Linked DNA regions of Canis lupus familiaris. The protein of the gene in region 1 purifies or fractionates together with the protein of each later gene. This does not show direct contact. Links are inferred from orthologs where the notes say so. Each region holds a gene or a part of one and is shown on either strand. Other genes may lie near its edges.

The links.
Region 2: the proteins of STRADB (region 1) and CAB39 purify together in Homo sapiens (affinity purification with mass spectrometry; 3 studies listed by BioGRID and IntAct, counting the BioPlex papers as one, with this or other methods). This does not show direct contact. The link is inferred for Canis lupus familiaris from reciprocal best matches to the Homo sapiens genes STRADB and CAB39.

Annotation. Positions count from the first base shown.
Region 1 is NC_049258.1:10,375,594-10,387,077, forward strand, and holds the start of STRADB (STE20-related kinase adapter protein beta), read left to right. Parts: upstream 1-3,853; 5' UTR 3,854-4,041; intron 4,042-4,472; exon of another isoform or gene 4,473-4,532; intron 4,533-7,227; 5' UTR 7,228-7,310; coding exon 7,311-7,322; intron 7,323-11,484. UniProt on the Homo sapiens protein: Pseudokinase which, in complex with CAB39/MO25 (CAB39/MO25alpha or CAB39L/MO25beta), binds to and activates STK11/LKB1.
Region 2 is NC_049246.1:42,955,053-42,965,856, forward strand, and holds part of CAB39 (calcium-binding protein 39), read left to right. Parts: intron 1-5,762; coding exon 5,763-5,927; intron 5,928-8,098; coding exon 8,099-8,217; intron 8,218-10,804. UniProt on the Homo sapiens protein: Component of a complex that binds and activates STK11/LKB1. In the complex, required to stabilize the interaction between CAB39/MO25 (CAB39/MO25alpha or CAB39L/MO25beta) and STK11/LKB1.

The DNA.
Region 1 (11,484 bases):
TAGAGATTACTTAAAAATAAATCTTTTTAAAAAATGTTATTTCAGAAATAAATCTAGAGTCAGAATACAAGATAAATTTCAAGAATGGAAAGATTAGAGACAGTAATAATTTAAAATTTTTACTGCATTGTGCCTGGATTATTGTAATAAAGGCATAAATGAGTTGAAACAGTAAGAGGGATCTGTAAGACAGTGTTAACTCGTTAACTTATGAGTTGGGACTAGATAAGCTTTAACCTCTCCTAAAAGATAATTACATCTGGCATATACTTCAATCATTTGACTTCAGACCTCACAATTTTCATTGCTCCTCACTCCCTAATAAGTCCCAGACATTTGGTGACGCCATGAAGTCCAAACTGGATTCTCCAACCACATAATACAGCCCAGTCAAAACAAAGGATTGCATTTACTAGCTACCTAGACATACTAGGAAATTCCCAATCATATAACTTTGTTCTTGTGATTTCTTCTACCTTTAATATCTCTCCCTCCTTCTAACATATTCAAAGTCTAGCCATTCTTCGTATCTTAGTTCAAATGCCATTTTTTTCCCAATGCCAGATTTCCCAAAAGCCTCAACTTGAAGTAAGATTACTTTCCAATACTCTCCACTTTCTTCTAAACATTTTTAATCATATAATTATTCCTTATCTCCTCTAATAAAACTATATACTCCCTACAACATACATAATTTATTTTTGTATTATTCCCTCTTCCTTTCTTAGGTAGTTGAAGATCTTGATAAATAATACATGGTAACATACAGTATAATGGCTAGGAGCATAGTCTGAAGACAGACTACTTGAATTTGAATCTAACACTGCCATTTGCTATTGACCATGGGCAAGTTACTTAACCTCTGTGTTTTGATATCTTTTCTTTTTTAATTTTTATTTATTTATTCATGAGAGAGAGAGAGAGAGAGGCAGAGACACAGGCAGAGGGAGAAGCAGGCTCCACACAGGGAGCCCGACATGGGACTCGATCCTGGGTCTCCAGGATCAGGCCCTGGGCTGAAGACGGGGTTAAACCACTGAGCCACCTGGGCTGCCCTGTGCTTTGATATCTTTAAGTATAAAATGGAGATAGTAATAGTACATAGTCCATGAGGTTGTCAGAAGACTTGATTTAGAACACTGTAAGCACCACAAAAGTGCCTATTAGTGGGAAAATACTGAATATTCTGGGATAGTTGAGTAAAGCTTTATCTATGGAAAGCAAAATGTCAAAAGTAAAGCCAGTTTCTAGGTACAAAGAGGTGCATACAAATTCTTCCTAAATGCTCCCATGTTTGCCCTAAGGGTTAGCTGTGCCCTTTAAAATCTCCCTTATGTTAACAATAGATGTTTTAGTTTGTCATTTCAATACTCTGAGACAATATTTAGTTCAGCTTCCACCTAATTTTGATCATGCTTCCAGTCTTATCTCCTTTAATCCATACTCCACAAAGGTCAGAGTAGTCTTTCTAAAATGCATATCCAATGTTTTTCCTCTGCTACAAACCATCTCCATTCTATCCCTTTTATGATAAAGTTCAGCTCCTTGGCATTTCATACAAAATTGTCCTAATATGGCCCCAGCCTAATCTCCAACTTCAACTCTCAACACTTCTTACCATGAAACTTAATCACCTGGCACCCTTAACGGCTTTTTGTATGTCATTCCTTTTGCTAGAACATCCCTGAATTAGTTTGTTAGGACTGCCATAGAAAATACCAGAGTAAAAAAAAAAAAAAAAAAAAAAAAAGAAAAGAAAAAGAAAATACCAGAGTAGGTTAAATGAGACAAGTTTATTTCCTCACAGTTCTGGAAGCTAGAAGTTGAATATCAAAGTATTGGCAAGCTTGGTTTCTCTCTGAGGCTTGCAGATATCCAACCTCTCAGTGTGTTCTCACATAATTTTTTTTCTCTGTGCACACATCCTTGGTGTCTCTTTTTGTTTCTAAAGTTCTTTTTATAAGGACACCTGTCAGAATGAATTATACCCACTCTGTTATTGCAGCGATTAAGTGAGCAAATGTACACAGAGCTCATGACTGGTGTGCCCAGCTGACTGAAAGTACAGCTGACTTGAACTTGGGTTTGAACTGCAAGGGTGCACTTAGACACTGAGTTTTCTGATACAGTACAGTAAATGTATTTTCTTTTTTCTAGTTTACTCTAAGAATACAGAATTGTAATACATATAACACAAAATATGTTAAACAACTGTTTATGCTATGAATAAGGTTTCTGATCAAAAAGGCTATTAGTGGTTAAGTTTCTAGGGAGTCAAAAATTATATATGGATTTTTGACTCTACAGGGGGTTGGTGCTCGTCAGCCCGGTGTTGTCCACGGGTCAACTGTACTCAAATACTTGTACTTTTAATATTTGTACTCATATACTGTACTTTCTTATGATTTCTTCAACGTATGAATAAAAATCTGTAAAATAACAAACCACTCTCTTTCGTACATGTGATTGCTGAATGTCTGAGACATTGTTGAACATTAACTTTAAAAATAGAAAGCTGTAAAAACTGCTGAGATGATAAAGTGTCTTCATCCCTGCCCTTTCCCACCACCAAACGCCCTTCACAATTCCTTAAGTGTCACGTCAACGCTATTAACATGCTATTTGGAGATCACTGTAACTCAGACTTTCAATTCTACAGCAAAGAGGTGAAGGTCATGACAAATTTTTGCTGAAAGATAATTTTTTAAAAAACTAGAAGAGTCCATGTCATTTTATTCCTATGGTCTATTCTAGCTTGATGAATTTCCAGTGAAAAGTTACTGCTCTGTTTTTTTTTTTTTTTTTCTGGCTCAGAAAATGCAGGTTTTAATATAAGGTTGGTGGGCAATGAACTGAGTTCACCATTATTACTAGACCCAGAACTCTTTTAAATGTTTGGGAGATCATCTTTACGCTGGTACTAAAGAGGACATCTGCCAACATCTATTATTCACGCCTGACACTAAAGTGAACCGTTTCTTTTGAAGGATATGTGGTGTCTGGCTCAAAATCAATCGCAAGAAAAACCCAACTGAGCATAGAAAGAGCTCTCTGCAATATCCTCTCTGTTTGCTCACATCACAGATGGTGACCGGGGCTTAGGCACTAAAGCTGCGCATCACTCAGGGAGGAGGTTCCAGGGGATGCTCTCCGGCAGAGGATGAGATCCTCACAGGCGCAGCTGGGATGAACCCGGAGACCAGAGCCCAGCGCCCATCACTTCGCACCCACACTTGGGGAACCAACCACTTCCCAACCAAGCCTTCGCGGGGCGGAGCCCGGCGAAGACCCAGGCCTGCGATCCCCAGCCCCCGGCTCCGATGTCCGCGCGTGACCTCCGGGCACCGGGAGGAGCTCCGGGCGGGGAGGCTCCCCTGCTTTCCGGGGAAGTTGGCAAGGGCAAGTTGGAGTCACGCGCGGGAAGGTTACTCACGGGAATGGCCCGACGTCCTCCGTCCTCCGTCCTCCGCCCGCGCTCCCTCAGGGAATAGGGTCTAAAGCGGCGGCAGCCCGAGAGCTGCAGCCGAAGCGGCTGCCGCTGCCACAACCGCCCGGGCGTGGCAGGGACCGAGGGCGACTTCACAGCATCATCACTCGGCGACTCTGCTTTGGCAGCGGGGCCGGCGCCTCCGCAGCCCCACACATCGGAGGAGAGCGGAGGAGACCCGCTCTCCCGGCAGCCTCCGCGGCGTCGGCGCACTACCTGCCGGGAAGTGTGGTCTTCCCGAGCGCCCGCCCCCTCCGCCTCCGGAGTCGCCGCGCGCCTGTCCCGCCCCCTCAGCGACGAGGCCCCGCCCCCGAGGCCGCCGGGCCCCGCGGCGGGAGGCGGGGCCGCGACCCTGGGGCGAGTCCAGTCCGGGCGGGCTGCCCGCGGCGGGGGCAGAGCTCCAGGCCCGCAGCCCGAGGCCGGGTCGCGCTGCCTTGCTGCGCCCCGCGGCCCGCGCGCTCGCAGGGCCCCCTCGGTGGGCCGGGCTCCCGGGGCCGTGGGGCCCCGCTCCGTTGGGCTCCTGAGGAGAGTCGCCGGTCGTGGTCGCCGCCAGGGTAAAGAGGGGAGGCCGGGCGGAGGGGGGTGGCGTCGGGCCGGGTCGGGAGCCTGAGGGAGCGCGGCTCGGTCCGCGCGCACCTCGCGAAGCCCGAGGCTGGAACTTGCCGCCCCGCCTCGAACCCACGCCCTGGCCGCGGGCGGGCGGGCGGGGCGGCGTCTGGAGTCCGGCTGGCGGGGCGAGCGGCCCCTGAGCCCCGGGCCGTCGGGCGGCGGCGGCGGCACCTGCGCTCGCGGTGGGCGGCGCTTGCCAGGTGCGCGGGGCGCCCGCGGCCCCGGTGCCGCCCCCCCTCCCCGCCCCCTCCTCACCGCCTCCTCACCCGGCACCTCGGGCCGCTAGCTCGAGCCTGGCGGAGCGTCCCGGCGGGAGACACCCTGTGGCCGCGGCTCTGTGCCGCCTCCTGCGAGTTCGCCTCCTCGAAGCAGGACGAGGAAGGAGCCTCTTCACAAAATTAAATGCTCAAGCTTCATTTTGTTCCCGGTATTTAAAGTGAGCGTCGTGTTTTTCCCCTCGTGGCTTTGTGGTGCCAAACACCCTTTTCCTGAAAACTTGGTCAGGATTTTGTGACCCGGCGGCTGCCGAGCGCAGGTCCGGGTGGCGCACAGTAGGCGCTCAGGAAAGATTTTGTTTTGAAAGCATGAGTCATGTTGCTAAGTTTGGGGAATCTTATAGCGAGTTGTGCGTCGCTGCAATTTTTGAGATTTTATGGGTTCTCAAGGTCCCTTTGAAAATTACAGTAATTTTAAGGCTTAGCAGAGATCGGGGTTGTTGTTGTTTTTGCGTTTCCTATAACAATAGCCTCTGCTGGATGCCTAAATTAACTCAAAACCCGAGTTCTGTAAATAAATGCGCCCTGTGATTTTCACAGAAATTGTTAACCTTTGATATTAAAGTCTTTGGATGAACTATTCTATAATGGAGCAAATTTAAATTATTTATAAAGCTTTATACCCTAATTAGCTTGTTAGATACAAATGCAAAGGACCACACTGATGTAATATATTTAGAAATACAGGCCTCAAGTATGATTTCTTTAAAAAGGATTTATATTCACATCTAGTGAAAGAGCGTGCAGGAGAAAATCTACTCGCCCCCCCCCCCCCCCGCCCCCAAACTGTACCCTTTACCAGGTGCAGCTGCTGCCTTGACCTCAAAATGTCTGGTAAAATGATCTCTTAAGCATCTGGCATATCTAAAGCAGAAATCTGTGGGATTAAACCACCTCAGTGGAACTACTCCTTTGTACTCACAATTCATAAAATCGTGTCAGTTTCTTCGGAGTATTTCTGAAATAATAGATAATGTAACAGAATTAAAGTTTTTTTGTTCTTGTTTAAGAACTTACTGATAGGAAGTGGAAGAAGCAAGAAACAAAATCCTGTTAACCAGAAAATTGAATTAATCACGACATCCCTAATCTTCCTGTGAGAATGTGAACTGCAAGTGGTCAGGGCCTTGTCTGCCCTGATCACCAGTGAGTGTCCCCAGTGCCTGACCATGGTCACCATTCATTAAGCACTTAGAGAATGAATACTTGGCTGTTTCGGATTAATGGTGTCATGACTTTCTACCTGTGTATGGTTTCTTCATTTATTTGGACATTTCCTTAGAGTTGATTGCTAGAAGTGAGAATTTTACTGGGTCAAAAGGTATGAGTATTTTCATGTTATTGAAACATTGCCAACTTGCTTTCCAAGTGAGCCTTACATTTTTCGGCTGCCACCAGTAATATGTGAGTGTACCTCTCAGAGTATCCTCTCGAGCTCTTATATTGATTGGCGCAGTATTTGGTAGTTATGAGCCCTTTCAGATGAAGTATCTCTGATTCAATCACCCCAGAAGGTGGGCAGGGCAGGTATTGCTTTCCCCCTTTTGTATTACAGCAAATACCACTGCCTTAAGTTGATGATAATGAATAGCAAGTGACTAAATAATCATACCCTTTGAGGTTTTTCCTCCCCCTCTTCTCTACTTTTGGTTTGTAGTGAATATTCTGAATAAATTCATATCTTTCCTTAACAGTAAAATTGGATACTGCTGTATAATATGTATTGTTTACAAAATCTTCCTTTTCTTTTCGCTTAGTTAGATATTTGCAGGGACCTTGATTAAACTTGGGGATTTCATTAAAATGAAATAATAAACCACAATTAACAAGAAAGAGATATTCCTTAGTTATAAGGAAACACCCAGCACTAGGAAGTTCAGAACATTGCCACCCTTTCTGTTAGGAAAAATCTGGAAAGTTTTGGTGGTGCCCTTGTAGTTCTTTAACTCTAAAGAAGTTGCTATTTTAAACTTCTGAATCTGTTGCAGTCTTCATAAACTATTGAGGTTAATACTCTACTAGTGATAGTGGACAGGAATTACTTGTATAATTTCATATCTTTCATATATGTCAAATTCTAGGAAGAACAGAGAACTAAGAATTGTGTTAAAAATATTCAGTCTTCAGAAATATTATTTTATGTTAAGACTGAAATTTCTCTTTTAAAAACATGTGACAACGAGTAAATGTTAATTCCTAGTGTGTTGCTAATGCAGATTGTTTCCCAAATTTGCTAATCATGGACCCCAAATGACTTAATTGGCAATTAATCCAATCAGGAAGCTTTGGAACCTTCAACGTTTACTTATAACTAGAATCATTGGAAATTCTAATGGGTCCAACATTGATTTTCTATATTGCTTTCACATTTGCTTAAGTTTCTTTTTTTTTTTTTTAAGATTTATTTATTTATTCATTCAGAGAGAGCGAAGAGAGAGGCAGAGACACAGGCAGAGGGAGAAGCAGGCTCCATGCAGGAAGCCCGATGTGGGACTCGATCCTGGGTCTCCAGGATCACACCCCGGGCTGCAGGCAGCACTAAACTGCTGCACCACTGGGGCTGCCCTTAAGTTTCTTTAAAAAAAGTAGTACAGAAAAAATAGGGAAGGAGAGATGCAGGTATATTGGTCTTTGGAAATACTCAGAATCTCCCTTCAACTTCACTCTGCCTTTCTGTTGTGATGGCAGATCAAATAGTGTTACATAAAAAGAAACACTCTTTAAAGACACTTTTCAGAAATGTCTCCAGTTGTTGTATCAAAGAATAGCTGCCTAAATATCATATGGGTTTATAGCAACTAGTTCTTCCAGGAGCTTTTATGTAAATCTAAATTTTGCTTTTGTTTTTTATAACAGAATATTTCTTCATCTTGAAGATAAAGCAAAAATCTTTTGGAGTAGATGGGTTTTTGACATCTTCTGTGAACTAAAAAGATTCAATGTCTCTCTTGGTAAGTTTGTGTTAACACAGATTTAATTTCAGGACATGTGGGTCCCGCAGTCCCTTATGCCTCTGACTCTTGGTTTCTGCTCTGGTCATGATCTCAGGGTTGTGAGATCCTTAGGTCAGGCTCCCTGCTCTGTAAGACATAGGCTTGGGATTCTCTCTCCCTGCAAGCTCCACCCCCACACCCAGGCCAAGACAATAAATAAGAGATGCTTGGATGGCTCAGTTAAGTGTTTGCCATTAGGTCTTGCTTTCAGGGTCTTGGAATTGAGCCCCAAGTAGGGCTTCCTGCTCAGCAGGGAGTCTACTTCTTCTCCCTTTGCTCTTCAGCACTGCTCATACATTCTTTCTCCTCTCCCTCTCTTTCAAATAAATAAATCTTTAAAAAATAAGATGAAATAACATAAATCTCTTTTTTTAAAGATTCTATTTATTTATTCATAAGAGACATAGGCAGAGAGTGAAGTAGACTCCATGCGGGGAGCCCAGTGTGGGACTGGATCCTGGGATTCCAGGATCACTCCCTTGGCCGAAGGCAGGTGCTCAGCCACTGAGCCATCCAGGCATCCCATAAAGAAATCTTAAAAAAAAAAAAAAAAAAAAAGCATAGATCTAATTTGGTACTATCAGAGTAGTTAGATGTTAGTGCAGAGCCATAATTGAAGGCAAATTCTGATGAGATACTGTTATGCTGAGATGTTATTTTGACCTGAATGGCTTTTGGTCTTAAGAAATGAGTTAAATTCTCATTGAGTTTTTGTTGCTTTAAAAAAGAGCTTCTCCTATACTTTTCTGATATATTCATCGTTCATTTCCTTTGTCCCATCCCACTTTTTTCCATACCTTTACTGTACTTAGATATGCCTCTCCCATCTAGTTAGCTATCTTATCCTTAAATCTTTCAAAAATCCCTTTTACAAATTTCCACTAGACCAAAGGCAAACAGAATAATACTAAAAATCAGCCTCTTAACAACAAGATAGAATACAGTTGGATCAATGTATAGTATGATATATAGATTACAGCTTGTTTTTTGTTTATACTAGATCCATGGCATCTAGATTGAGAACCAAGAATCATATGGTAAAAAATATTCAACCTACCGAAAATATTACTTAAATTAAGTAGTTTCAGGTCTTTCATCATATCTTCTTCTATAGAACATAATACAATATCTGACTTGATTAAAGTAGTGATCTTTTAAAAAGTGATGGGTACATTTGTATGATGATTTGCAGTTTATAAATACTTTTATATATCTCTTTCAGTCTTCAAAATTATGAGTGATTGGTAGGGCAGGTGGTTTAATCTTGTTTTGAGTTTGGCCCAAGATTGCCAGGGCTCAAATTCATATCTGCCAATCCACTCCATCATTTACCAAGTCTGAGAGAACTATGAAGTGAGGAAATACAGAATGGATTTGTTGGATTTATTGTATAATTTGTTATATGAAATATACAGAATGCACTTACTTTATTTTTAAAGTAAAGATTCTCTACTTAAAAGGGGAGCTTTAGGAGCTCCTGGCTGGCTCAGTCAGTAGAGCATATGACTCTCGATGTTGGGGTGTAAGTTCAAGCCCTGTGTTGGGGGTAGACATTACATAAAAATAAAATCTTAAAAAAAAAAAAAAAGGACAGCTTTATCTATCAATAAAGCACATTGATGTGAAATACCTACCTGATTTTCTGGTGCTGGGGTAAACCAATATTTTCTGTAAAGGACCAGATAGTATTTGTGTGGTATATGGTCTTTGTAACAAATTACTCTTCTGTTCTTGTGCTGTGAAAACAGTCATAGACAATATTTAAATGAAAAAAATGAATGTGTTCAAGTAAAACCTTCTTTACTGAAACAGGTGGTGGGTCAGACTGGTTTGTGGACCCCTGCTCTAAAGGATTACTTAAGATTCACCATTTTATATCAGTTTATAAATTGCGTGAGTTGTAAAAGGGCATTTGATAGAAGAAGATCCAGAGATTTAGAGGACTGTGTGGATTCTCAGGGCTTCTAAATTTTGGAAAAAGAGTATCTTATTTATTCAATTATTCTATAATTATGGGTTTTGTGAAAAATAATAGAAATTAATGTATGATTTAAATTTGTTCAGTTTGTTAATAATTTTACATTTAATACTTCCTGTAATGATGAAATATTTAGAATTCTTTGAATATTTTCCTACATGAGATTTTTGTACAACTGAGATAAAATTGATGTTTATACTTATGAAGGATTCTTCCTCATTCAAGTTTTTTCCTCTGTTGGAGAGCTAAGAAATAGTGTTTTCAAAGGAGCAACATCAGTCAAATATTTTCCTTTAGATGCCCTAGTAGATATAACTGCTTTACATTTGGCTATTATGGTAGTAGATTTAAAAATTACATTAAAAATATTTTAAGGCAGCTTCTGGATGGTTTTAATACTATGTGTGCTGTCTAAAAGACCTTAATGTATATATATTTCATGGGCTATTCATCAGCATCTCATTGATTCATTGTGGATATAAAAAATGTTTGGAAGAATAAGCTATGAGTGTTTTATGACTTTTATAACTTGAACAGCTAATGAACATGCTAACATTTTTTAGAAGTCAGCAAAAACATTTTGCCTTATAGTATTGGTTGGTTTTAGCTGTCTTCACATTAGTGATCACTTTCTTGCACTGTGAAAATTCTGTATAAAGGTAATGCAATATGAAGGTCCACCATATTATTTTATAAAATGTTTTCCTATTTCTATAAACCAAAAACATGGATCACTACTCTTGAGAATGAATTAGGGTCAATCTAAGTTTTTTAAAGTGTGCCCAATGTGTCTTTTAATTTTAAAGATTTATTGATTTATTTTATTTATTTATTTTTTAAAGATTTATTGATTTATTTATTCATGATAGACATAGAGGGAGAGAGAGGCAGAGACACAGGCAGAGGGAGAAGCAGGCTCCATGCCGGGAGCCCGATGCAGGACTCAATCCCAGGACTCCAGGATTGCGTCCTGGGCCAGAGGTTTAGTGGTTTTAGGCACTAAACCACTGAGCCACCCAGGGACCCCCTATTGATTTATTTTAGAGAGAGAGATTGAGTGCACAGGGGGTAGGGGCAGAGGCAGAGGCAGACGGAAAGGGAGAGAGTCCTAAGCAGATTCCTCACTGAGCATGGAACCTGTCGCAGGGCTCAGTCCCACAATGCTGAGACCATAACCTGAGCCAAAACCTGAGTCCAACACTCAATGACTGCACCACCCTGGTGCCTCTAACAATATGCCTAATATGTCTCAAATTAATTTTTTAATTTAAGTGATGGACATTTTTTAGAAAAATTTTTATAGGCTTGAATATATTTTGGTAACTATATTAGAGGTCTGCCTAAGACCACCTCCACGTTTGGTGATTTGCTAGGAGGACTTGTAAAACTTAGTCTTATAGTCATAATTAAGTTTTGTCACAGACAAAGAACACAAAGCAAAATCAGTGGAGGAAGGAGGTACATGGAGTAAAGTTCAAGGAAACCAGGCTCAAACTTTTCAAGAGTCCTTCTCCCGTGGAGTCACATAGAATGTACTTAATTCTCGCAGAATAGTGACAACATGTGTAAAATGTTAGCTACCAAGGAAACTCATTAGAGACTCATTTCTCAGACTTTTTGGCAGGGGACTGATCATGTAGGTACCTTCTGCTAGCAGGTAACAAAATTTCAGACTTCCAGAAAAAAAGCAAGTAAAAAAAAAGCAAGTATTCAGCATAAGGTATATTGTTTATATGGTTTAAGCCCATGATCTGTTCTTATTAGTGAATGATGATTTCCCTTCCCAAAATCCAAGTTCCCAGATGCTAGCCAAGGGCCAACTTTTCAAGCAAGCCTTTTCTTTCTTTCTTTCTTTCTTTTTTTTTTTTTAATTTTATTTATTTATTCATGAAAGAGAGAGAGAGGCAGAGACACAGGCAGAGGGAGAAGCAGGCTCCCTGCAGGGAGCCTGACGTGGGACTGGATCCAGGGTCTCCAGGATCACGCCCTGGGCTGAAGGCAGGCACTAAACTGCTGAGCTACCCCGGCTGCCCTAAGCAAGCCTTTTCTAAGGATAGCAATTTTAGGCCTGATGTGTTAATTCTCTTCTGTACAGTGATATTAATGATTATTGTGAAAGATTCTGAGTAAATGTTACAAAAT
Region 2 (10,804 bases), on another chromosome or scaffold:
TGCTCAGAACCCTGGGAGCTGAAGTAAAGAACGTTTCAATGAAGGACATCCAACATATAGGGGAACAAGAGACTGTTGCTGTGGGCATGGGTAGCACTGAAACCTGGTGTCTTAGCAGGACAGGTGATGTGCTCGTTAAGGAGCCCAGTGGACTAGGTGACATGATGGGCTCAGCATCTTGAGAAGGCATAGTGCTTAGAGAAGCGGTAAGTGTGACTCGCTTATTCATTAGGTGTGAGGGGACAGACAGGGAGGTGCAATCAGGGGATGTGGTCAGAAAGGCAGAGAACGTGTTGACTTAATGCCAGCAGGCCAGAGACCAGGGACGAGGCAGCCTCCCTGCTGTGAATGCCGAAGAAGGATGCCAACCCAGACCTACACAAGAACAGACAAGTTTATTTGTTTTCTCGGCTATCTTCATTCAGTAGACACTTGCCACATCACCTTTTCTGGTAAAATACTTCTTAAGGTTTTCTGATCATCTTTTAGTAAAATTTGGACATGTTTCTTTTTTATTTTTTATTTTTTGATGATTTTATTTAATCAGCTTATAATTATCCATGTAATGGGGAACAGAAAGCACAGAAGTAGTTGAAATATGCATAAAATTAAAAGTCATCATTTGAAATATGAGCTTAATCTCCTGTATATCAGGACTGCTAATAAGTAATAAGGTTGATGAGTTTTAGATTTTTATAAAATCTAAAAAAAATCTATAGATTTTTTGCTGCTGATTATCTTCTGTAGATGGCAACTAACCATGGATGTAAAAGTAAAATGTGAATTGTGAAACATAACATCTGAAGTAGAGCAAGTGAAAACAAAATATTCTTCTTACCTGTCTACAATAGGAAGACTATGCTCAGTTTGGGGTGTCTTCTTCCAGATTATTCTCTGTGAGAACACCAGGATTTATGTTCATTGCTTGCTGCTGTAGCTGTCACGTAAATTGCCTTGCTTGGATACACTGTGTATTTTAGGAATTCCTTGCCTTCATGGTGTGATAACATCACATTTCTCTACATCCAGTTTTCATCTGGATCTTTTTTTAATATCTCAGTGATTGAGTATGCGGATTTTCAACCATTTGTCAAGCATGTATGGCAACACTGCAAGCACTGGGCTCCTGATGGAGCAGGAGGAAATACATTAACCTAGAAATCACAAGGAAAAGCAGAACTACAACTGTGAGAAAAGAAGTATGTGGTAGTGTCGAATGTATTATAGAATTTAACAAGAAAGACTCCTCTGAGGAAGTGATCATTGACCTGAGCAATGAAGGAAGAATGTGAATGGCCAGGAGGTGGAGGCAGGGCATAGGCCTAGGAAACCACATGTGCAGGTATCCTGAAAGGATACCAGTGTGACCAGAGTAGTGGCTTAGAGATAGTGGGGGAGGAATTGTAGTGCAGACTAAGGTCAGACAAGGAGGGTCAGACATTGCAGGGTTTTACAGACTGTGTTAAGAAATTTTCTCTATCCCAAGAGCATAGGTAATTGGAGCATTTTTGAAGCAGAGGTAACAACAATCCTATTTGTGTTAAGAAAGGATCATTCTGTTCTTAATATGGAGAATGGCTTATAGGGAATCAAGGAAGTCAGTCAGTGGACTACTTATAGTAGTCCAGGCAAGAGTTGTGGGGACTCTGACGTGGGGGGTCATGGTATGCGGATAAATGGATGGATTTGGGAGACATGGTGATTAATTAGATATTGGGGTGGAGTGAGAAAGAGGGGGAAGGGTTGAGGATGGCTTCTGAGTTTCTGACATGCATAAGAGCATCAGTAGTGGTATCGTTCCCTGAAATAGAGACCAAGGGAAGAGTATTAGGCATTAGGGCAAAATCATGAGTTCTGTTTTTGATTGCGTTAGGTTTGAGGTACCTTGAGACATTCAAGTGGAGACATTTCAAGTAGGCTGCTGAATGTACTAGTAAGAAAACTGGATTAGAGATAGGAATCTGTGAGGCATCTGCATTGAGGTGTTAATTAAAGCTGTGGGTGTGGATGACATCACTTGGGAGAGATGATAGAATGAGAAGAATAGGCCTTGTACCCTGCCTTGAGGAATTCCCAATATTTAAATGGTCTCATCAAGAGGGATATGAGCCAAGAAGGAGGCAAAAGGAGCAACCAAGGAGACAGGCAGGAAAAATGAGGATGGTGGTGAGTCACAGAGGACGAGGGAGGAGCAGTTTTAAAAGAAGGGTGTAATCAGCACCTTCAGATGCTGCCAAGAGCTAACATGTACTAAAGACAGAGAATTGTATTTCCTGGCGGGCAAGTCATTAGTGACTTGCTAAGAACTGTAAAGTACTAGGTGGAGAAACCACGTGGGATTAGGCTGGGAGCGACTGGGAAGGAGATGTGGACTAGAGCACACACAGGTAGATGCTTTTTAACGGTTTAATGGGAGTCTTGACCATATTTAAAACTGATTGAAGGGGAAAAAATCAAGTGAGGGAGTTGGCTATATGAGAAGGAGGTGAGAAAGCAGGTCAGGTCCTAAGAAAGCCAGAAAGTGAACGGAATCCAGGAGGATCAACAAAAACAGACATAGTACAGTGGTTAGCAGATATGGGAATGCTATTGGTGTCCCAACCCCCCAGCCCATAATATAGGTGACAGTGTTGTCTTCTGAGAGGAAAGAAAAGGGCTTTACATGGGGGTCCAGGTGGCCATTCATCTGAGAAATGCCATAAGTTGCTTTCTGTTTCCTTGTTTCTCTCCTCCCTATTTTTTAATAGCTTTATTGAGATAACTCACACATATAATTCATCCATTTAAAGTGTACATTTCAGTGGTTTTTAGTTTATTCACAGATAATGTGCAACCATAACCACAGTCAATTTTAGAACATTTCATCACTTCAAAAAGAAACCTCAGGCCTTTTACCTATCACCTCCCTCCTTTCTTATTCATCTTGCTGTCAGAAGAGAGCACAGAGTATGGTCTGAATTCAGATCTAAAATCCTGTCATGATTTTGGGACACCTGGGTGGCTCAGTGGTTGAGCATCTGCCTTTGGCTCAGGTCATGATCCCGGGATCGAGTCTTGCATCAGGCTCCCTGCAGGGAATGCTTCTCACTCTGCCTGTGTCTCTGCCTCTCTCTATGTTTCTCATGAATAAATAAATAAAATCTTTAAAAATAATAATAATAAAATTGTATCATGATTTCAAAGAAGAGGCTATGTAAGCTGAGGCATATGAAAGGTTGCCAAGAGACTCAAAACTGTGATCTAGTCAGAGAAGCACTGGTATAAAATCAACAGATAATACACACAGGAAACACACTAAATGCCGGGCTCTTCCTTGTCAGAGAAAATCATCTTAAGAATAAAGTTGGTAAAATGAAATTACAGAAGTAACATATGTAATAGTTTATAAGAGAACATTTTCTGTTGATAAATGATTTTATCTACTGGCTCCCAAAAAGTACATTTTGGGGTACTTTAACTTGGTATAAGGGATGAACTGCTGTTAGAAATCTAAGGTGTTGGGCAGCCCCGGTGGCTCAGCGGTTTGGCGCCTCCTTCGGCCCAGGGTGTGATCCTGGAGACCTGGGATCGAGTCCCGCGTCAGGCTCCCTGCATGGAGCCTCCCTCTCCTTCTGTCTGTGTCTCTGCCTCTCTCTCTGTCTGTCATGAATAAATAAATAAAATCTAAGAAAGAAAGAAAGAAAAAAGAGAGAGAGAGAGAGAGAAAGAAAAGAAAGAAGGAAATCTAAGGTGTTGAAAGAATAGGGTGGTAACAGCTTGACGGGAGAAGGTAAAGATTCTGCTGAACACTGATAATGGAAGGTTTTCCATAGGGATTATTGGGATGATTTTAAACATTTAGAAAAGAAAGTCATAATCCTAAGCATATGCTTAGGAAAAAGGACTACCAAATTAACTTTATTTCATTGTCTTATATTCAGGAAATGTGGAAGAAATAGTATATAGCTGACCCTTGAACAACACAGGGGTAAGAGGCACCAAGCCCCCCACCAGGTCAGAATCCACATACAACTCTCGACTGCCTTAGAACTTAATACTAGTAGCCTACCTACTGCTGACCAAAAGCCTTGCTGATAACATAAACAGTTAACACATTTTGTACACTACATATACGGTATACTATGTTCTTACAATAAAGTCAGCTAGAGGAAAGAAAATGTTAAGTAAATCATGAGGAGAAAATATAGTATTGTCCTATGAAAAACACGTATGAGTGGGCTAGCACCTTGTTCAAGGGTCAAATGTTAAATTATCTTATATCCAAGTATTTAACAAAAAGCCTTTTGAATTTGATTTGGAAATAGGTTTATATATAAGTGGCTAAGGGACCGTGTGCAAAGATTATTAGTAGATCGTAATGAAAAGCATGATGATTCAAAGGCATAATGGTAGGTTCCATTTAGAGTTATTTCCTTTTCGATGTCTTGGTTAATGATTGAGGCCGTGGGAGGTATACTATCAGATTTGCAGAAAATGCAGATATGAGAATGATAGCTGGTATGTTGGATGTCCTTCAGAATCTAGAAATACCTCCACAGTGTTGAACAATGGGCTGTTAATGAGGTTAAATGAAATAGTGAAAAGAGTTAAAGCCTCCATTGCAGATCACTCAAAGACCTGGCTTCGAATGAATTCTATGAGTTAATTGCAGAAATTCTTGATGGTACCATCAGGCTACATTAACATTTGTGACATTTATAGGGAAATCGTGATCTAGTGTCTTGTGCATCATTCCATCCTAATGGGATTGGAACATTAGCCCTCCTTTTCTTAAAAGAATAAAGAAGCTGAGAGGAAGTTTTTCTGGAAAAGACAAGAGATGGGCAGGTCACCCTGAAAGAGCTCGGCTGCTCCCTGACTTGGGTGTGTTCCTCACACACACCGGCTTCTCAGTACCCTGCTGAAGAAGCAGTGTGTGTTTGCACACCTCTCTCCTCTCTGGTACTCTGCCCTGCCGAGTCCCAGTGCTGTCTCAACCCCTGGAGACCGCATGCCCTCCCTGTGCTGTGGCCTGGAAGCTCTCCAGGTGGTAAGCCAGGGCACTTGTGAATTAAATTCATTTGTTTCCCTTCTCTCAAGGCTCACCATCCTGTGCTGTCTGAAGTTCAGTGTTTAAGATGCATTGTTTCATGTCACTTCTCCTGTTTTTTTATCTTTTTCATGGAGGAGGGTAAATCTGGCTCTTGTTCCTCTCTCTTAGCCAGACGTGGAGACTCTTCAGTGTGTTTTGTTTTTTTTTTTAATTTATTGCTAATATCTCAACTCTGCATTCAGAGCCACCTTCTGTCATTCCCTTGTTCCCTCTGCACCTTTCCTCAGGCAGACTCTGTGCTTGTCCCCTCCCTCATCTCCAGCTCATGCCATTCCTGTCCGTCCATCTCCTCCTCCCTCGTTCTTGCTCATCAGTGTCTCTCCATTCTCAGGCTCCACTTTGGCCTCTTCTGTGACGTTGCTCTCCCATGGGAGGCAGAGTCGAACCTTCTCTCCCTGGTCAGTTTCTACCATAATAAACTGTTGGCAGCATTTAGGCATATATGTTGTGTATCTGCTGGCCTTCCCTCTTGAACACATATGTCAGTCTCCACATGTGTCATATGTGCCCAGTGCTCAGCTCCCAAGGGCTGGGACGGGGCTTGCCCACCTTTGTGTCTTTTACATAGCTCTGTGGGTATATAATCTAGAGGGAAGGTATTTTACAAAGGTAGGTTTTTTACATATTTTTTTTTTAAATGAATGGTTTTTCTCCTCTCCCTCAAAATTAGGCCACAGAAGAAGTTTCCAAAAATCTGGTTGCCATGAAAGAAATCCTGTATGGCACGAATGAAAAAGAGCCGCAGACGGAAGCAGTGGCACAGCTCGCTCAGGAACTATATAACAGTGGGCTCCTGAGCACACTGGTAGCTGATTTACAGCTCATTGACTTTGAGGTAAGAAATCAAATTTTTTTTTTTTTTTTTCCAAAAATGGTGCCTTCTTCATGGTCCTTTTCCTGGTGTTCTCGCCTCTGAAAGATCCTAAGATTCCTGCCAGGCTCTTGGCTCCAGGGTTATTGACCTGTAAGCATGCCCAGGCTGCCTGCCTAATTAGCAGAGCCGGGCAGGAGCTCAGGGCTGCCTCAGGCTTAGGCCAGGTCGCCTCCTGTTTCACCACACTGTATATGAAGTTTCTTAGGTATTCGTTGTGCCCTTTTGTTTACATTATATTTAATAAATAGCTGCTGTTTTACGTAATTCACTGGCCTTGGGTTCTCAGGGAGTCAGCAACCTAAAGAAGACCATAGAATGTTAGAGGTAGAGAGATCTTAGGAGATACCCAGTTGTGTTTTAGGGTTTTTTGTTTTGTTTTTTTAACCTGCTGAGAACTCATTACAGCAGAGATGATATGTTCTGTTTGCTTGTGCTTAGCTCTGCTTTTAAATGTTTAAATTAGCATAACGGTTAAATAGCAGGAGATTTTTTATGCAGTTTTGAATTTCTCTGGCTTCCCTTGAAAATTTTGACTCTGGCAGCATTGAGTCAGTGTGCCTATATGGCCCCTCAGCTGGAACAGAGCAGCTACCACCCCATGGGCACACTTGGGTGTGCTGCAGAGAGCAGCTTGCTTTTCTGTCTCAGGGCCTGCTTTACCCAACATACTGTCTCTTGCCTGGCCCTGGTGGGCATTTGATATTATTACCCAAGTTTATATAGCTGAATCATGTCATATTAGATATTTAGTGAATTTAGCAGTGAGAATAATGGTCTTTGATACCAGTCTGAAAGGTAGACTGAGAAGTATATATGGTAATGAGGTATATATGGTAATGAAGGGCTCTTAGCATGGTTATGAATGAGCAGGTTCCTCTGAGTCTTTGTCATGGCTTTGTTTTTAAAGCCCCAGTGTTTTTCATCCTGAGTGACCAATTAGATGTCTGTGCAGGTGCTTGAAAAACCAGGGGAGAGAATGGCAGACGTATAGTCAGATTCAGTTTTGGAGAGTGATGGGAGGGTGTGGTTCCTAGGTTACTTGAGAATAATATTGATAATAAAGGACAGTAAAAATTGACTTCTATAGAACAGATAAAAATATTTCCCTTTATATGGATGATTATGTATTTCTAATAGTGTATCAGATTCCACCAACAACAATCTTTATTTCCTCTGCAAAGTTGCCAGTGCACTAGAACCTCCACTTCCTTCAGCTTTGTCCACCCTTCTCATTCCCCGACCTGAACGCTGAATTTAATATTCAGGACTTTAGAGGCTTAAATTTAAAAGAAGTGTGTGTCCTTGAGATGTGTTCTTAGAGATTGCTATTGCTTCTCCTCACCTAGCACAGGCCCCAGGATGATCTCTAGCCCTGGAAAGCTAGCATTTCACTCACTTTCCTACAGGCTTGTCAGCCTCTTAACAGGTAGCCACTCTGAAGAATCTCATGGGGTTCTGTTTTCCATTTGGTAATCTCTTGTGCAGTTTTCTGATTATAAGATTCACTGTATAGCAGTAATGTCCTATTTTGTTTAGTAAAGTACAGTTGTATAATTCTGATGTCTGAACTGCTTCATCATGTGGTACTTGGAGCCTTCATTACTAATCTATATAAAATCTCTCCTAAGTAGACCTAGCTTAATGAGATATGTCTACTTGCCATGAAAGCTCAGCTTCTTAGAGAATCTTTCGTTTTTTTAATACTAGTAGAATGCAGCTTCTCTTCCTTTCATCACTATAAAAGGAAATTATATGTATTGTTTACAATGTGAGCATTTTATTTGAAACTGCTTATTCCATATGGGTGGGAATTGGATCCCTGAACATTGTAAGCATATAGCAAAGTTTAATTTTTCCTGAATCCACATGATTCTAAGGGTTAGAAATGGCTGAAATTTATATGTAGTAAGATTTCATTTTGTGAACATTCTGCTCATGTTAAAAATAGTGTACTATTAAAACTTCGAATTTGGATTTGTAAATAAAGAAAATTTAATATCTGAACATTTTAAAGTCAAATATTGAGTCATAATTAAAAATATGCAGTGCCTTAATTTGAGTTTATTTGGGAGGGTGGATGGGCTTTTTGGTGGTTAGTCGGGTAAACATTTTAATGATTGTATTCCTAATAGGGCAAAAAAGACGTGGCTCAAATTTTCAACAATATTCTCAGAAGACAAATTGGTACAAGAACTCCTACTGTCGAATATATCTGCACTCAACAGAATATTTTGTTCATGTTATTGAAAGGGTATGTACAATGTAACAAATGTATATTCTCAGTTGAAAAATAAAAAGGAAAGAAGTCTTGGGCAAAAACAGGATGGTAAATGTGGGAACGTGTTTTCTCTATGGTTCAGTCAGTCCATTTTTCCATACATCTTAAACACATTTCCCTCCTTAAAATTCAGCCAGTGAGCTAAATTGAATTCGAAAATGCCCATGGGAATTTCAAGGTTGGTGAATTGTGAGCCTTTAATTAAATTCTCAGATCCTATATAACAGAAGGAAAAAAGTCTTCTGTGGTTTTATTCCTATTCTCTGGATTTTAAAAGTTTATTTATATGAACTATCAGTTAAATGATGTGTTTAAAGACCTCTTGTTCAGGGAGACATGCACACTGTGAGGCAGTAGGAGCTGCCTAGGAAGTGGATCTTGAGTACTATGTAGCGTTACTTTATTCCATCAACAAAGAACACATTTATGAAGTCTACCCTTTGCTTTTTACCTGTGTGTATCCACTCATTAACCTGCTTAGTTGGTAATTCACAGTGCATCTTCCAGGAACTAAGGAGGCATTTATTGGTAGTCTGTTGGTATCAAGTCTGTTGGTATCAAAAAACAAAAACCAAAAAAGCCTAAAAACTCAAAACTTTAAAACGAAAGAAAAATCCTTTCCTCCCTCAATAGTGATCCTACCCTTGGGGCACCTGGGTGGCTCAGTGGTTGAGTGTCTGCCTTTGGCTCAGGTTGTGATTCTGGGATTGAATCCTGCATGGGGCTCTCCACAGGGAGCCTGCTTCTCCCTCTGCCTGTGTCTCTGCCTCTCACTCTCTCTGTCTCTCATGAATAGATAAATAAAATCTGAAAAAAAAAAAAAGCCTTCCTGATTGGCAAGGTCACCCCCTGTCGTTTCACACAAGAGTTGTTTGCCAGCTCTGGGTCTGGTGTGCATCTGTTTGTCCCAGCATTGGTGCTGTTCTATTAAATTGGCGGACAGGCCTTTTAGTAGCATGACTATTGGCGTGAATCAGCTTGCTCTCCTACCCCTTTGCTTTATAGCTTGCCTCTCTCTGATTCATATCTCTGTGGTTTAACACTTCCCCCAAGTTCAAACTTGTTTAGACAAAGCATGAGTCAGTGCATGTGTTTGATGCCAGCATTCTATTTCCTTCTTTCTATTTCTAAATATCTATGTTGCTTCTTCAGACTTTGCCATACAGAACTTTTGGCATCTAATTTTTTGTTGTTACCAATCCACAGTTGCGTGTGTAAACGTGTAATGAGTAGTTTGAAATTTTGTGTTCTTAGAGCACCTTCCAGATGCCTTTGTGTATTTTTAAACTATTTCCTTTTCCATAAAAAGCAGTGGTTATTAAAATCCATAAATTAGTTTTGCTTATGTTTTGGCTTGAGAGTAGCCAGAGGAATGATAAACATTGTTAAACATCACGTAAAGTCAGAATTTTAAGGTATGATTTAAAGAAAAATGAAAGCTCTCACATGAGTTGGCCAGAGCAGGAAAGTCAGCGAGAAAGGAGAGGAGGAGAAGCCTGGAGAATGCAGCTGGTGTTGTTCTCCACCAGCGCCCATCTCCCCATCCTTTCTAGCCCTTAGAGTGGGAAATATACAGAAAACTGGAGGGAAGAAAATAACCAGCCTTTTGTACTCATCCTTCAGCTCTGACAGTATCTCTTCCTTCATGCCCCTGGCCTCCTCCTTTCCCTCACACACATAATATTGCTTCAGTATGCATCCCTAGTACATAACACTTTGAGGACCCTTTTTTTTTTTTTTTTGTCATAGTCATGATATCATTTACAAACCCAATGTTATCTTATACTCACTGTTCAGATGTCCCTTTCACATAAAATGTCATTTTTCAGTTAATTTGTTTAAATCCAGTTCCAAGCAAGCAAGGCCCATAAACTGCATTTGGTTAATAAGACTACTATGCCTTTTGTTTTGAATACCATTTACTTGTTGAAGCAACTGGGTCATTTGTTCTATAGAAAAAATCACATATTTTGGATTTTACATCCCTGTGGTTTCATTTAACATGTTCCTTTGTCCTCTGTTCTTTTAAATTGGTAAATCATTATGAACTCAAGTTTTGGGTTTTTTTTAAAAATATATTTGACATGTTTCAGTCCATTGTAGCCATTATGTCCACATTTTTATATCCAAATTGTGTCATCTTGGCCAATTGGGAAGCTCCTTCAAGTGGTTCCTATGTCCTTGTGGCAAGACCCCATTAGTCTTTGATAGCTTCCTTGCTTTCTGGCACAAGGTGTCCCTTACTATATTGTACAGGTTCCTGCTCCAGACCTGGAAGCAGCCATCTCTTCAAGGAGCCTTGTGAGCTGCCTTTTAAGATTTTTGTACCTTTAGTCCATCCAATGACTCTCATGCGGTGTGATGATCCACGTAGGCTGTAAGCACTTCAGTGTCAGCTGTTAGGGATGTTGTGCTGCAGGTGACCATGTGCGTCCAAACATATTCTTGTAGCTAGTGTTAGATGCATCAGAGGCAGTCGTTTTTCCTCTGGTGACTTAAATGTTCGTGTGCTTTCTACTCTAATGCTAACAGGTTGTACAGCATAACTGTTTGCCCTGTA